Rattus norvegicus: one gene and its partners. The protein of the gene in region 4 purifies or fractionates together with the protein of the main gene of each other region. This does not show direct contact. Links are inferred from orthologs where the notes say so. Each region holds a gene or a part of one and is shown on either strand. Other genes may lie near its edges.

Region 1 (3,987 bases), on a different chromosome or scaffold from region 4:
GGAAAATCCACAGGAAAAGACTGACAGCAAAAGTATAACCCCAAATACACACACATCTCCTAAGGTAACTTGCATATTGGGTCTTCCTATGGCCCAAACTCTCATCCTCTCCCTCAACTTGCAATACACTACAGTAATTCACCATGTAGACCAGAACAGATGCTATCTCATGCAGATGAGGAGGAAACACTTCTAAAACTTTTATATATATATATATATATATATATATATATATATATATATATATATATATACACACACACACACACATATATATACATGTATACACACACACACACGTGGTGCACTGCCCCGCTTCGCTCTTAAAATTTTAGAGCAAAAAAAATTTTTTTTTAAAAATCTACATTCTAAAAGCACATGGGAAACAGAGCAAGTGTAACGAAGCATCTTAGGGACCCGCTATTACCTCCGGCTGCTCTGGAGCGCACCGCCTCTCCCCGCCCAAAGTCCCTGTCTGCAACCTTCTGCACACACCTGGCTGCTAGGTAGAGGGGTGGGGGGGGGGGGACAAGGTGAGTGGACGGGAAAGCCCTCGGCGTCGAGGTTCGCTTACTTTCGTGCCTGGTCCTGTAGTGAGCGAACGGAGGCTAAGGGAGAAGGCAGACGAGGGTGGGTGGGGAGTCGGCGCACAGACGGTCTGGTACCACCCGCAGAAGACTGACTGCCCGGCTCATCGCCCAACACTCCGGCTTCTTAAACGCAGGAGCGCGCGCATGCGCGTGCACCCACCAAAGCGCACTCGGGCTCGCGCGTGCGCACGGCGCTCTCGCACAGTCCCGCCATCTTCCCCTTCCCCTTAGAGGCTACCAGAGGCCGAACCGGAAGAGGGCGGAGCAAGTGAGGGGAAAAAAAAGAAGGCTCTAACGATTGTTCCCAATCGACCGTTGGGAAGAATGGTCAGGACCACCTGAGAGAACCCCCAAAGTACTAGCCGCAGCCGGGATAAGCCGGCCTCGGCTCTGCACAGGCAGAGCGCACCCACTCAAGCTCCCCTCTCCGCCTTCAGTCCAGACCGGTAGCCCCTCGGAAAACGCGCGAGAGAGTGCGAGCCGCCAGAGCAAACCCGTGAGAGCAGAAGAGGGAAGCCCCGCCCCCTACCCATCCACCAATCAACAGCCAGCCGCCTGCAGGGGGCGGGGCTTTCGGTAACTCGCGGAGGGAAGTCTCGCGAGGCTTGTCGCTGTGTGGCTGCCAGTAGCGGAGGTTCTGGTCCGCCCGGGATGGAGCCGAGGCAAGCGGGCTGCCGGATCCTCCCTGCCGCTGTGTGAGCAGGGCTGTGTGTCCGCTCGCTGAGCAGGCGCAGCGAGGCCGCGGAGAGCACTCTCTGGGCGCCTCCATCTCGCGGGTGGTGGTCGCCGTCTCTGACGGCTGAGGGGGACTGAAGCTGAGTGGAAAAACACGAGTGGGTGAACCTCTGAGCCGGGCTCCCTGTCTCCGTGCTCTCACTGAGCTCCTGCCGGGAACAGAGGTACGGAAAGTTCCATGAAAACCCCCGGGCCTGCAGGCCACGGGACACCCTTTCCGGGTTTCCTTTCCTGCCACTCCGGAGCTCCGTGGGCGGTGGCTGGAGGGACTTGTCGGTGTTGAGTTTGCCTCAGCGCACTCGACCGCGTTTGCGACTGGGACTTAGCCACGATCCTGAGGGAGCTGCTGAGATCGTTTGAATCCCTCAGCGCCCTTCCAAATTCTGTTCCAAGTTGGAACAACTGGCTTCCCTCAGACAGATGTTTCAGAAGCTCCAAGTGTGTGCTTTCCACCATTTTCAGGAACAGTGCAGTTCCTCTGCTTCCAGAGTGATGAGTGGGGGCTGGATGCTTATTTGTGTGTGTGATCCGCACGCATTCTTTCTTTATCCCATTCTTTGAAAGACTCATGCCGTATATTGCCACTGTCATCTTTGACAAGAGTGAGGACCCTGTCTCTTTTCTTCCGGTCCCTGATCGTAGTACCGTCCCCCTTTCCAGAACACGGACCTCAGAATTGTCTAAGGCTCTGTATTCCACTCACACTGCACCAGATTTTTTGCTTCTTTCACTGTGACTATGACAGTTGCCCTTCCTCCACCCCAAACCGGTGTGCCCGCCTCAGCCTTCCATACTTACTGTGAAATGCATTCTCTCTCCTTAAACTTTTTCAAGTTCTAATTTAAGCCTACCGATCCGTCAGGGCTTTTTACCGTCCTATCTTAAATCATATTTTACCTCTTCAGGGCCATCCTGTTGCCGCCCCTAATTTTTTACCATCCACTTATGCCCGGCTGTTGGGGGTTTCCCAAGCATACCTCACATTTCCGCCACTGCTGTGTGAACCCAGATAGTCTGTTGGGATGCTTGGTTTTCCTTCTGTCTCATCGTCTCTCAAAACCCTACGTCTTTTTAGACTCCCTCGGGTGACATCGATAACACAGTGAACTCCCAGAGCTCTTGACATAATTCCGCAGTATTTATTAGGATGCATTATTTGTTCAGTTACCTGTCTCTCCTGCCAGCTTGAACTTGAATCTGGAATCGTGTCTTACTCATGTTTAAAACAAATGCTAGTTCAGTGTTGGCTCATAGCAAGCATTATTATTATATACTATTTATAATGTAATCATTCTAAAGAATTTGCTATAAAAATTCTGTCTCTTAAAAATCAGAATATTAGAACCCAAAAGCCCTTACCTGCTTTGAGCATGAACATGAGCAGCCTTGTAACCCTAACACTTATGTAATTAATTGTACTTTTGCTCTTAGTGGATGGAGATTGTATATAATATCAAATGCACATGCATGCACATACCCTATGCATTCAAATGATTTTATATTATGTTAGTATCATGTTTAACAACTAGGATCTTATGGGATGCAAATGTTTTTGATAGTGCTCAGCATAAGAAAAATTCCAACTCTTGGCCATATGTTAGAAATAACTGGCTTGGGTTAGGTTAGTTCTTTTTGGGATTGTTAATTTGAACACACAACATAGCCACAATTTTAGGGAGTGTATAAATTGGTCTTGATTCAATGTGCTCTTTCTCTCAAATTGTGTTCCTTTCAACTTTAAGAATTGATTTTCTTCATAAAGCTCCAAGTATATTAATATTCAAGGACAGTAGGAATTTTCTGTACTTTCAAATAGTGTATGTGCTGAACAAGATGCTCATTTTTATATGTTCTTTATAAACATTTTGTTTGTTTGTTTATGGGTGGTTGTTGGAGGCTCTACATAGTCCTAGCTGTCCTAGAACTCACTAGGTAGACCAGTCTGGCCTTAAGTTCACAGATAAATCAACTGGCTCTGCCTCCCTAGTGCTGGGATTAAAAGTATATACTCCCATAACTGGCTATATACATTCTTGATCTCTTAAAATATTTCTCTAAGGACTTGAAACACATTTTTATGTTGCTATTTTCATGTGCCAGTTAATATAATATTATTGCATATTTAATAACACTAGAAGTACCAACCTGAGCAGTAACAATTTAAATTTTTGACATCTAAAAACATGTCATATCATACCATGTTTTTGTATCTCCAGAAATTGGATGATTAGTAGATTTGCTAATAAAAGAAACAAGAATTACTTGAATTTCTTTAGATTTTTCTTAACTAAAAGCTAAAAAGTATCCAGCTGGCAATTGCTGCTGTGGGTAGGTGGTGGTTTCTCTTTAATGAGCAGCAGAATGTTCTGGACCATCTGTAAGAATCTGACTGCAGATGTCTTAGTGGTAGAGTGGGTGAAAATGTGGCTAAGCAGGAAGCAAAAGAAGAAAGAAAACTTGTTTCTTAAAGGCATACCTCTGTAATTTGAGCCTACCTGTTTAAAATAATTTAAGAGTATTATGACTAGTTAAGACAAAACTGAAAAAATAGGTAAATAAATTGAAAGTATTCCTTTTTTAAATTGGATTCACTTTTTTACTGTGTAACAAAATGTGGAAAATATCTCTCCCACTTTACTAGTCAAAAAGGGAGAGAAACATC
Region 2 (3,026 bases), on a different chromosome or scaffold from region 4:
CTGATTGGTAGTGGCCTTCTCAGTGGGCGGTAGTCTTAGTTACCATGTGAGGATGAGGCAGTTGACTCACACGGAACTTACCTAAGCCAAAACTTGCTCTACTTGGCAGTTTACAAAGCAGGCAAACAGGAAGCCTTTTCCTCATTGGTAAGAAATTCACCCTCACCCATGTGCTTCAATCCCAGCACTGTAAGGCAGCAAGCAGACCCAAAAGGCCAGTTTGGCCTATATAACCGCAGGACAGCAAGGGCTACAGAACCCAAGGTAATTAGCACCCACATTTGGGTTATGACTAACACCCAGTTGAAGTCTTTGAACCCATTACTACTTTTTCAAAACTGGGAGCAAGTGACACTTGTGTCTTGTGCTAAAGCCCACTACCAAATTTCAGTAGTGTGGGTCATTTGGTATTTCAGGAAGCAACATGGCAAATTCAGGAAAGAACTAGTGCAGGGGCAGCTGAACCACACTAGTAACTGCAGGAGAGGGAAGGGAAGAAACAAGAAGCCCAAACAGGCAGTTTCCAAGTAATTTTATTCAGAATTTTGTGTTTGTTTCCTGAATCAATAAATACTATACAAAACAATGTAAAAATGGCTACCATTTTCTCTCCCCTGCTCCCCTCACCTGGGGACAAGTCCCTGGACAACCTCATTCAGGGGGTTCTCCCTGTAGATTTGGTCCAGCAAATGAGGCCAGCCATGTTTTAGCCCCTTGACTCACTTTTGGAGATTTGGCTGGGGTAGGAAAGCCTTTAGGAATGAGGTGATTAGGTTAGGGAAATGCATTAGTGTTTGGGGGGGAAGGAGACGGCGCCTGGGGCAGAGCCTACCCCAAAGAAAAGGGTGTCTAAAATGTTCACGGTTCCTTCTTTTTGCCTCAAAAAGTGACATTTATTCAAAGAGAGAGAGAGAGAGAAAAAAAAAACAAAACAAAAAAACAAAAACAAGATGTCCATCCCTTGGCTCCCTTCCCTCCCCCCTCCAGCTGTTCCTCAGCCCTGCCCCCAGGACTGAACCCTGGGCTAGGGCCAGGTAGCAGGACAGCCCCTCAAATGAGGTCAGCAACGTTGAGGGGCATCTCTTCAATGGAGGTGTTGTAGAAAGTCTCAATGTCTCGAAGAGTCCTCTTGTCTTCTTCTGTCACCATGTTAATAGCCACACCTTTCCGGCCAAACCGACCACCTCGACCAATTCTGGGGGGGGGGGGGGGAGGTTAGTTTAAAAAGGCGTTAGGTTGGGGAAAGGAACGTGTTTTTTTTTTTTTAAGCACAGGGAGTGTTTGATCTGTCAGACCAGGTAAATACCTGTGGATGTAGTTTTCCCTGTTGGTGGGAAGGTCATAATTGATGACTAGGGAGACCTGCTGCACATCAATGCCTCTGGCCTAGGTCAAGAAAGAATAAAGCCATCAGAGGACACTATCAACCCTAATTTAGTAAGCATATATGTAGGCTGCCAAAGGAGGGCAAAGGAAACAAGTATTCCTTGTTCCCCAGAGACCTTGGACATGCCTGGCTTTCTTCCAAGTTGCTACGTTCCTAAAAAGGGCACATAGTCAGCCCTTTGGAGAGGGAATCACCTTGGGCTATTTTCTCCCTTTCTTTCCTTAAAAGAGCATCTACTCACCAACAGGTCAGTGGTAATTAATACTCTGCTAGAGCCAGACCGGAACTCCCTCATGATCACGTCTCGTTCCTTTTGGTCCATATCTCCATGCTGGAAAACAAGGTTAGGAGCAGCTAGCATAAGGCTCCTAACACACAAAGACACATCTATCATTAACAAGACTGAGAAAACTCACCATGGCAGAAACTGTGAAATCCCGGGCATGCATCTTCTCAGTGAGCCAGTCCACCTTCCTTCTGGTATTAATAAAGATTACTGCCTGGGTGATGGTCAGTGTTTCATACAAGTCACACAATGTGTCGAGCTTCCACTCCTGGAGATCAGGAAACATCAATCAGGAGCTATACCCAACACTTATTACCAGGCCCGCCTCCTGCACTGGGCCCCACCTCTCGTTCCACATTGATGTAGAATTGGCGGATACCCTCCAGGGTCAACTCTTCCTTCTTGACAAGAATCCGAATAGGGTCTCTCATGAACTTCTTAGTCACCTCAAGGACATCAGAAGGCATTGTGGCAGACAGCAAAACTACCTAGTGGGAAAAATGCCCCAGCCATGATTGAGTGCACTGTACAATCAAATCACAACCGAGCCACCGTCCCTCCAACACCATCTGTTTTACCTGTGTGTTGCTGTTGAGCTTTTGGAATATATCATAGATCTGATCCTTGAACCCACGGCTTAGCATTTCATCTGCTTCATCCAGGACGAACATCTTGATGTATTTGGGTGCTAGATGGCAGGAAAAAAAAAACCCCAACATATAGTAATCAGACAAATGTGAAATATATTGAGGTCTCTTGATAAGGCAGGCAGAAGGCAGACAGTCTGCTCTCAGAATGCAAGGACTGATCCTTTGCCCTCGGCTTCCCTGATAGGTCATGCAAAAGCCCTGGTAAGTAGAACACTACCTGGGCTAAGGTTAACAGGGAAGCCAGGCTCAGATGACACGCATGGGGTTCATCACAGAGCAACTCAATTCCAACTAAAGGAAAACTCATCCAAGGAAATGAAATGTAGAAAAGAGCCCAACAACTGTTCCATGGCACTCACACAGGTATCTCCGGTTAAGCATATCGAACACCCGGCCAGGGGTGCCCACGATGATATGGGGAGCTTCCATTTGCAGCTTCTGCACCTCAGCACGCACGTTGGTGCCCCCAATACAGGCATGACAAGAGGCACCCATGTAGTCTCCCAGTGCCATAACCACCTTTTGAATCTAAATGTAGAAAGGCATCTACATTAACTTGGGCAGTACCAGTGAGTTAAGTCTTTCTTATTACAGACAGGAATTATCCCACTCTTAGCAACTGAGAAACAGGAATCCACTTAATCCTCTTCCAACACCACCAATACCGCCACCAAATGGCAATGCTGGATCCGTCCACACAGGT
Region 3 (3,157 bases), about 160 Mb from region 4:
TTAAAGTCTATCAAGGATTGAGAGAGCATCATCTGTCTGGGTGTTTTCCCACACATTTACATTTCACAAATGTTAAATTTGAAATGGTAGCAAGAGCCTTGCCTTCGCTTGTCTAATGTGAGCTAAGACTACAAGGCACTGTCCCATTGCATGTTTAGGATTATACCCAAAAGAATGCACTTTCTGGTTAAAAATGTTTTCAAAAAGAAATTTCATTTTTGTAGTTATATTAGTGTGATTTACTAGAGTTACTATGAAAATTGTTAGAAAATGTCCTTATTTACTTTCATATACTTAATTTTAAAATATTTGCTGCAAAGTGTTATTTCTCCTTTTGTCGTTTTTCCCTCCCACCCACCTTTCTGCCTAGGACATTAAATATCAAGGGCTCCTGGGTAAACTAGACAACCAGTGGACTGATATCACTAACATTATTTTAGCTGTAAGAAGGTAAGTTCTTCAGTAGATGGAAAATAGCAACCATTGAAAAACACCAAAAATTAGTGTGCCATGAATTATGGAATTTTAAAACATCAGTTTACTAAACTGAAATTCAACATTTATATTTTCATCAGAACTTAATAATCCCATAAATAAATAGAGCTCTCAATTATTTAAAAAAATCAAGGGATAACATATGTATTTAGACATATTAGCAGCGTAAAATGTATGCTTCAACACACTTATTGATAAAAAGTCCGAAAATATTACTACACTGAATTCAAGGGCATCCGCAGGAACCTGACATAGAAATTCTCTAGAATAACATTTCAGGAATTTCCAAAAAGAGGGAAGAGTCAAATAGGAAACAGCTTCAACGTAATCGACAAAGTTCAGTGCTTGCTCTAACTTGATTTTTTTGTCTCTCCATTGGGGGAGGGGGATTCAAGACGAGTGAGTCACTTTGAGGAAAGTTCATCTACTGGAATAAAGGGGGAGGCTGCTTGGGCAGGCGACACAGGAGAGTCGGTGGTAGTGCTGACTTTCGCTGGTGAATTACAGGAAGATCCGGCACTGCTGCTGTTTCCATCCAGGGTATCAGAAGATACACACACTCCGGGCTCTGACAGCTGTGCAACGTCAGAAGAAAGCATGTTGGTGATGCCCTGGAAAAATCTCTTTGGCTGATAATCAGTTTCCATTTCACATTTTCTTTTCAATGGTCCAAGAACACTTGGTCTAATGCAGTTGATGGGACTCTGGCTTCTCCGGGTAGTAAACCGGGTGGTTGGGCTGGGAATAGGACTTGGAGGCAATCCGTTGCTACTCACAAAACTTTGCAAGGACGGTGAAAAACACTGCTTCCCAATTCCCCGGGTGGGTGACGGTGCTGGAGACACCGGAATGAAATCGATGCGCTTTGGAGAGGCGGATTTCTCCACGTCGTTGTCACTCAGGCTGAAACTTTCCTCCCAGGAGTGGCTTATCTGCATTGCGGTCTGCACCTCGCGCTCGTGGACCGTCTCTCGGTTGATCAGGTCCATGCCCTCCTCTTGTTTGATCTGGTGCAGGCGGCTGCTGTGCATTCGGACCGGCGAGGCCGGGAGCAGCAGGCCGTGGCGGCTCGGGAACGTCGTGCTGTTCCTCCTGGCGCTAGGCGCCTCGGCCTGGAACACCGGCGAGGAGTCGCTGAGGCCGTGGATGAGGGGGGCGCTGTTAGACCTCCGGAGGCCCCCGCTGCCCGGGCCGCCGCCTTCCGCTGGGCTAGCGCCCGTGCCCGCGGGCAGCTCCAGGTCCAGTTCCATCTTCTCCTGAGCCATGTCGCGGCAGGGAGGCGGGGGCGGTGCTCAGTCAGGGCCCTGGGACTCCCATTCCCCGCGGCCCAAGGCCGCCGCCGCCGCCGCCTTCGAGAATCTGTCAGAGGGCTCACGCCTCTGCGCATGCGTGTCCCTTCGCGCAGGCGTCCTGACACGCTCGTTCTTGAGGCGCCAGCTTAATGCGTCATTGCTGTGGCGCCGCGGCGGGGAAGGGGCGAGCAGTGGTTGGGCGACTCCTCTGTTCGTTCCTTCCGCAAATAATCACTGGGCGCGGGCTCGCGGGAAGGCTGGTTAGAGAGGCCGGGGCGCTCAGAAGTATATGTTTATGAAGCAAGTATGAGCTCAGAAAGATAGTCCCTTGGTGATGTGGGGCTTCATGATGGAGCACGGTCTAGCCTGGGTGGGCTTCCCGAGGGATGGAGCACAGGCTTCTGAAGTCTAAAGGAGGCAACAGCGGCGCTTTGTAAAACTGTCCTGAAAGCGGGAAACCTCTGCTGCCCAGCTAGGTGGCAGATGGGAACCAGTAGAAGAGAGTTGTTAGCCTGATGGTGGACAAGAATAGGTTCTGGTCTTTCTTGAGAACAATAAAAACTCCCAGGCGTTCTCAAAGAAGGATAGAAGGGTACAGTAGCAGCTGAACTATTGGAGCCTTAGGCTGAGATCTGAAGAATAAGACATGGGAGTAGAACCCACAGGGAAAAGGCCAAAGAGGAGGGTAATTTACCCCAGGGCTGAATCTGGGAGGGGAAAGGGAGAGAATAGTAGACTTAAGGTGATTGGGAGGAAGAAGCTTTGTGACATTTTTTTAAAGTTGTCATATTTCTGCTGCTAACCATTTACTTACTCATGCTCACTCGGTATGGGAATTCAATGAAAGAAAAAAAATGCACACATTTAAAGAATAACAGGTTTTGGTTTATGTAATTAATACAAAACTTTGTATCTCATTAAATAGAATTGTATTTGTTCATTTATTCAGTCAACTCTCCTATCCGGGCACACCTACTTACTGTATTAGGAAATGAGACTTGTGTGAGGTCATTCACTTGCTACTGGATGGGAGTGGGGATTGACAAAATAGGAGACTTTTGGTGTTAAGTGTTTGGGAGAAAAGTGGGATGGTGTGGTCTAGCACTACTGATGGAAGTTAAGGGACAATTGGGCAGAGTTAAGTTGTAAGTTACAAATCCTGTGGACTGCAGAAGGTGGGGGCAGGACCAAGCGTTCCAACCAATGCTTAAGGGCCAACAGACCCACTGGCTTGGCGACGAACAGGAAAGAAAAAGCAAGATGGAGACAGTGATCTTGGAGGGCAAAGGACTGAGCACCTAGTCCTTTGATGAGAAGACACTGAGCAGTGTTAGGCAAGGGAATAATAGGCTTGTGCTTTGTTCATCTGT
Region 4 (3,516 bases):
TCTGGCTATTGTCCCTTAACACAAAATATCCACCTAGTCTCACTCAGGGTAGCGGAGGCTATGCAAGGGGAAATGGGAACCACTGGATAAACTGAAAGAAGTATCCAGTTTCTGGAACACAAAGGAATGAATATGCTGTGTTTATTCTCTATCACTCATTTCTTCCCACTGACATGGAACTCTGTACCTTGAGATGCATGTGACAAATCTCTGACTAGAGGTATTATGAACTCCAATGTATCCATTCACACTCATTCCATAGGGCAGGGACATCTATGGGAACAGACATGTGGAGCAGCCGCACATTGGCTATGAAGAGAAACTTCTCCGGAAAACTGAAAATGCAGACCCAAGAGCCTTATTTTTTTCTTGTGGTGCTAGAAACTAAATCCAGAGCTATCAATGTTAAAACCTTTCAACTGACTTCACACACCATTTTTAAGAAAGACTTCTTGAGTACAAACAGCCTATGAAGCATCTTTGACCCAGTCTGGGAAAGGGGACAAATCTGCATTCACCATCACAGAATTAGCCACTGTGTAATCTACCAACAAGCTCCATTAAAGACTGTCAGTGGACAGCATCACACTAGTCTGGCTTCCCAGGACCTCTGGCCATCTCTCTTCTCTCTCCCTACCACTGGCTATACTTTCCTAACAGAAAGATCTCTTGCAGCTGCAGCACTTGCCTACAGGTTCAAATCCAATTCTCTAAACTCTTACCAGTGACTTCTTTCATTCTCCATAGTCTAAAGCCACTTGCACAAGCAAGTATGGTGACCAGACTGGCTATGGCCAACAGAGCATGTAGAAGACACAAGCTAGAGCTATTTCAATGGGACCTTCAGTGGGCCAGGAGACAAATTACAGCTGTGGCATCAGACCAAGAAAGCCAGGCCAGCAAGGCTAATCTGTCACAATAGGGCCAGCTGGAATGATGTGAGAGGAATAATCATAACTGACTAGATGTTACTGTATTCTAGTCTCTATGTCACCTAAAGCTTTAAACCGTGGCCCACCTCTCCCAGTACCTACAATTTCTGAGTGGAATTATGGAACACTTTATCTCTCTGTTCCTCTCTACTGGCACATTTGTAAGTCCTTAAAGATCACCACTGTCTTGGTCTTTGTTCATGTCCTAAATACTCAGGAGACAGATGAGTGCAAAATTAAGGGAACTTGAAGCAATGTCTGAGAAGAATGAATGAACAAGCAGACATGAATGCCTGTCATCTACTCAGCAAAGCAGGGAGTGTGGAGTGTGATGCCAAAATTTTATACTCTTGGATAATTGATTGATTCTGCAAACCTTTCTGCCACTCTTACCTCATCCTTCAGCTGAGCCAAGAACAGGGGCAAGAGGTGTTCGATGGTATTGTCTTTGCCCAGAATGGGAGAGAGGCCCATGATGACTGAAGCCAGTGCTGACTTGACATGTTGGTTGGCATCGGACACGAGTTCCTTCAGAAAAGAATGAAGGAGGTAACAAAGGTCAGAAATCCCCTTTAATTGCAACTGGTCACATAGATAGTAGCCCCGATGGCCCAAGAAGACCACAGTCTTCTGCTTTTCACATATGTGGGGCATCACAGGGCTGCACTGGATTTATTCTCAACAGGGATTGTTTGTTATGTGAACCCCAACCCAGGGTCACTGCCTCATTCTCCAAAAACTCTGTTCATAAGGGGACTCTGGTCTTGGAGCAGCAAATACATCCCTTAGACCTTAGGGTCAGCAGCAACCCTCAGATTTTGTCTACAGCTCAGTTACTACATCCCAAAAGGACTGAAAACCTGGCTTGGATCAGACTGTACCTAAAACAAAGTCTTCACCCATCTCTAGCAGTCTCAAATCCTACCATCAAACACTACTCTATTACCTTGATGCAGGGCAAGATCTGGGTCATGATCACATTCTCCCGGCAGTCAGCTGAGAGATTTTCACAGAACTCTGTGGGCAGGGACAGGAAGGTGCTGGTGAGACTTGATGCTCTGAGCCCATTTGTGCCTCTTAGAAAGCCACCCAACTAGTTGTGTTCTGGTTGCCAGCACCAACCTTTGACCTTGTGGGAGGCTGCGGCCCTCACCTCGGCCTCACAGTCTTTCATCAGGTTCTGGAAGGCAGGCACCAGATCTGTCTTAGTGATCTCAGGCCCAACTGCTTTCTGGAGCTGTACACAAAGAGAAGAGGAGCAGAACTGAAGAGTGTGGCAGCCACTCAGGGCTAAAGAGGCAAAAATGGAGAAGAAAGCACTAGAATGAGGTTAGGACACAGCACAAGGGACATAGTCCCAGCATAAAGACATGACCAATCAGTGAAGTTGTCACCTCTCTGATGACATCTTCAGAAATAGAACGATGGTTACAGGACATCCTCCACAGTATGTTTTACATTTATTGTTCAGGTTCTTTGAGGTTGAATTTCCCATTCCCTAAACACTGTTAAGTGGTTCCTGCTTTCACTAACATGAAAATATGTAAACATACTTAACAGTTTACTAAACTGGTTGGTATAATTTTCAAAAGTAAAATGATTAAAATGATTAAAAACAGTGAAGAAGGAAACACATGCCAGTAACAAGGATGTAGGAAAAGGATCTAGAACAGACAGCTTCAACTAGGTTGCTGGAAGAACAGTTGGGAGCAGGATGACTCTCTACTACTCAAAGAATTAAGCCTGCTTCCCTTGCAGATCAGAAGCCTGACTTGCCTTTACTTGGTACTACGCCTCCCAGGTACACATACTTCTACATGGCCAGGTCTCAAACTACTTTACTAGACCCAGGAATACAATCCTTAGGGATGAGTCTTCTAGCAGACCCCAGAAAACTAACCATCACAATGAGGAGCTCTTGTCCATCATTCCTGCCCCTTTGCTCACTTAATCTCAGCATCAGGCCATGAATGCTCCTGCTTTACTCTGTCTCTTATCTCCTACATACTCTGCACGGGCTTGTCTTTTTGTTCTGACATATTTCTTATCTAACTGCCACTCAATTGCAATGCCATCAAGCACACAGAACAAGACATAACATACTCCATTAGAACTAATATTTTTTAAAAGATTTATTTAAGAAGAGGGCATGTGACTGCATTACAGTAGGTTGTGAGCCACCATTGCTGAGAATGAACTCAGGACCTCTGGAAGAGCAGTCAGTGCTCTTAACCGCTAAGCCATCTCTCTAGCTCCCATCAGCACTTTCTAGTGAGGCTGACTTTTAGCCTGCTCCTTCAAGGCCAGGAATGTGTACACATAACTGACTCCAGAACCTCTACCAAAGGTAGTGCTAATAACAAACAAACAAACAAACAAAAGGACATAACTATGGACCTGCGAATATTGCAACAACAGTAGAGCACTTGCCTAACATGGGTTAAGAACTGGGTTCAACTCTCAGTATTAACAAGGGGAAAAACAACAACAAACCAACATGCTCTTGGCTAAGAAAATTTGGATCTTGGCACAAAGAGCACTTGTCCCTGATCTGACTAACATGTGGTTGATGACAACTATTACT

What was found.
Region 1: the proteins of Ppp2r1a (region 4) and Fgfr1op2 purify together in Homo sapiens (affinity purification with mass spectrometry; 5 studies listed by BioGRID and IntAct, with this or other methods). This does not show direct contact. The link is inferred for Rattus norvegicus from reciprocal best matches to the Homo sapiens genes PPP2R1A and FGFR1OP2.
Region 2: the proteins of Ppp2r1a (region 4) and Eif4a1 purify together in Homo sapiens (tandem affinity purification; 3 studies listed by BioGRID and IntAct, with this or other methods). This does not show direct contact. The link is inferred for Rattus norvegicus from reciprocal best matches to the Homo sapiens genes PPP2R1A and EIF4A1.
Region 3: the proteins of Ppp2r1a (region 4) and Pabir1 purify together in Homo sapiens (affinity purification with mass spectrometry; 4 studies listed by BioGRID and IntAct, counting the BioPlex papers as one, with this or other methods). This does not show direct contact. The link is inferred for Rattus norvegicus from reciprocal best matches to the Homo sapiens genes PPP2R1A and PABIR1.

What each region holds. Positions count from the first base shown.
Region 1 is NC_086022.1:181,221,126-181,225,112, forward strand, and holds the start of Fgfr1op2 (FGFR1 oncogene partner 2 homolog), read left to right. Parts: upstream 1-1,172; 5' UTR 1,173-1,489; intron 1,490-3,987. UniProt on the Homo sapiens protein: May be involved in wound healing pathway.
Region 2 is NC_086028.1:54,882,578-54,885,603, forward strand, and holds the end of Eif4a1 (eukaryotic initiation factor 4A-I), read right to left. Parts: intron 2,852-3,026; coding exon 2,683-2,851; intron 2,602-2,682; exon of another isoform or gene 2,460-2,601; intron 2,362-2,459; coding exon 2,252-2,361; intron 2,162-2,251; coding exon 2,018-2,161; intron 1,942-2,017; coding exon 1,804-1,941; intron 1,719-1,803; coding exon 1,629-1,718; intron 1,589-1,628; exon of another isoform or gene 1,446-1,588; intron 1,387-1,445; coding exon 1,307-1,386; intron 1,196-1,306; coding exon 1,051-1,195; 3' UTR 516-1,050; downstream 1-515. UniProt on the Homo sapiens protein: ATP-dependent RNA helicase which is a subunit of the eIF4F complex involved in cap recognition and is required for mRNA binding to ribosome.
Region 3 is NC_086019.1:231,540,896-231,544,052, forward strand, and holds Pabir1 (P2R1A-PPP2R2A-interacting phosphatase regulator 1), read right to left. Parts: upstream 1,823-3,157; 5' UTR 1,761-1,822; coding exon 900-1,760; 3' UTR 516-899; downstream 1-515. UniProt on the Homo sapiens protein: Acts as an inhibitor of serine/threonine-protein phosphatase 2A (PP2A) activity. Inhibits PP2A activity by blocking the substrate binding site on PPP2R2A and the active site of PPP2CA.
Region 4 is NC_086019.1:69,223,184-69,226,699, reverse strand, and holds part of Ppp2r1a (serine/threonine-protein phosphatase 2A 65 kDa regulatory subunit A alpha isoform), read right to left. Parts: intron 2,170-3,516; coding exon 2,055-2,169; intron 1,950-2,054; coding exon 1,879-1,949; intron 1,461-1,878; coding exon 1,326-1,460; intron 1-1,325. UniProt on the Homo sapiens protein: The PR65 subunit of protein phosphatase 2A serves as a scaffolding molecule to coordinate the assembly of the catalytic subunit and a variable regulatory B subunit.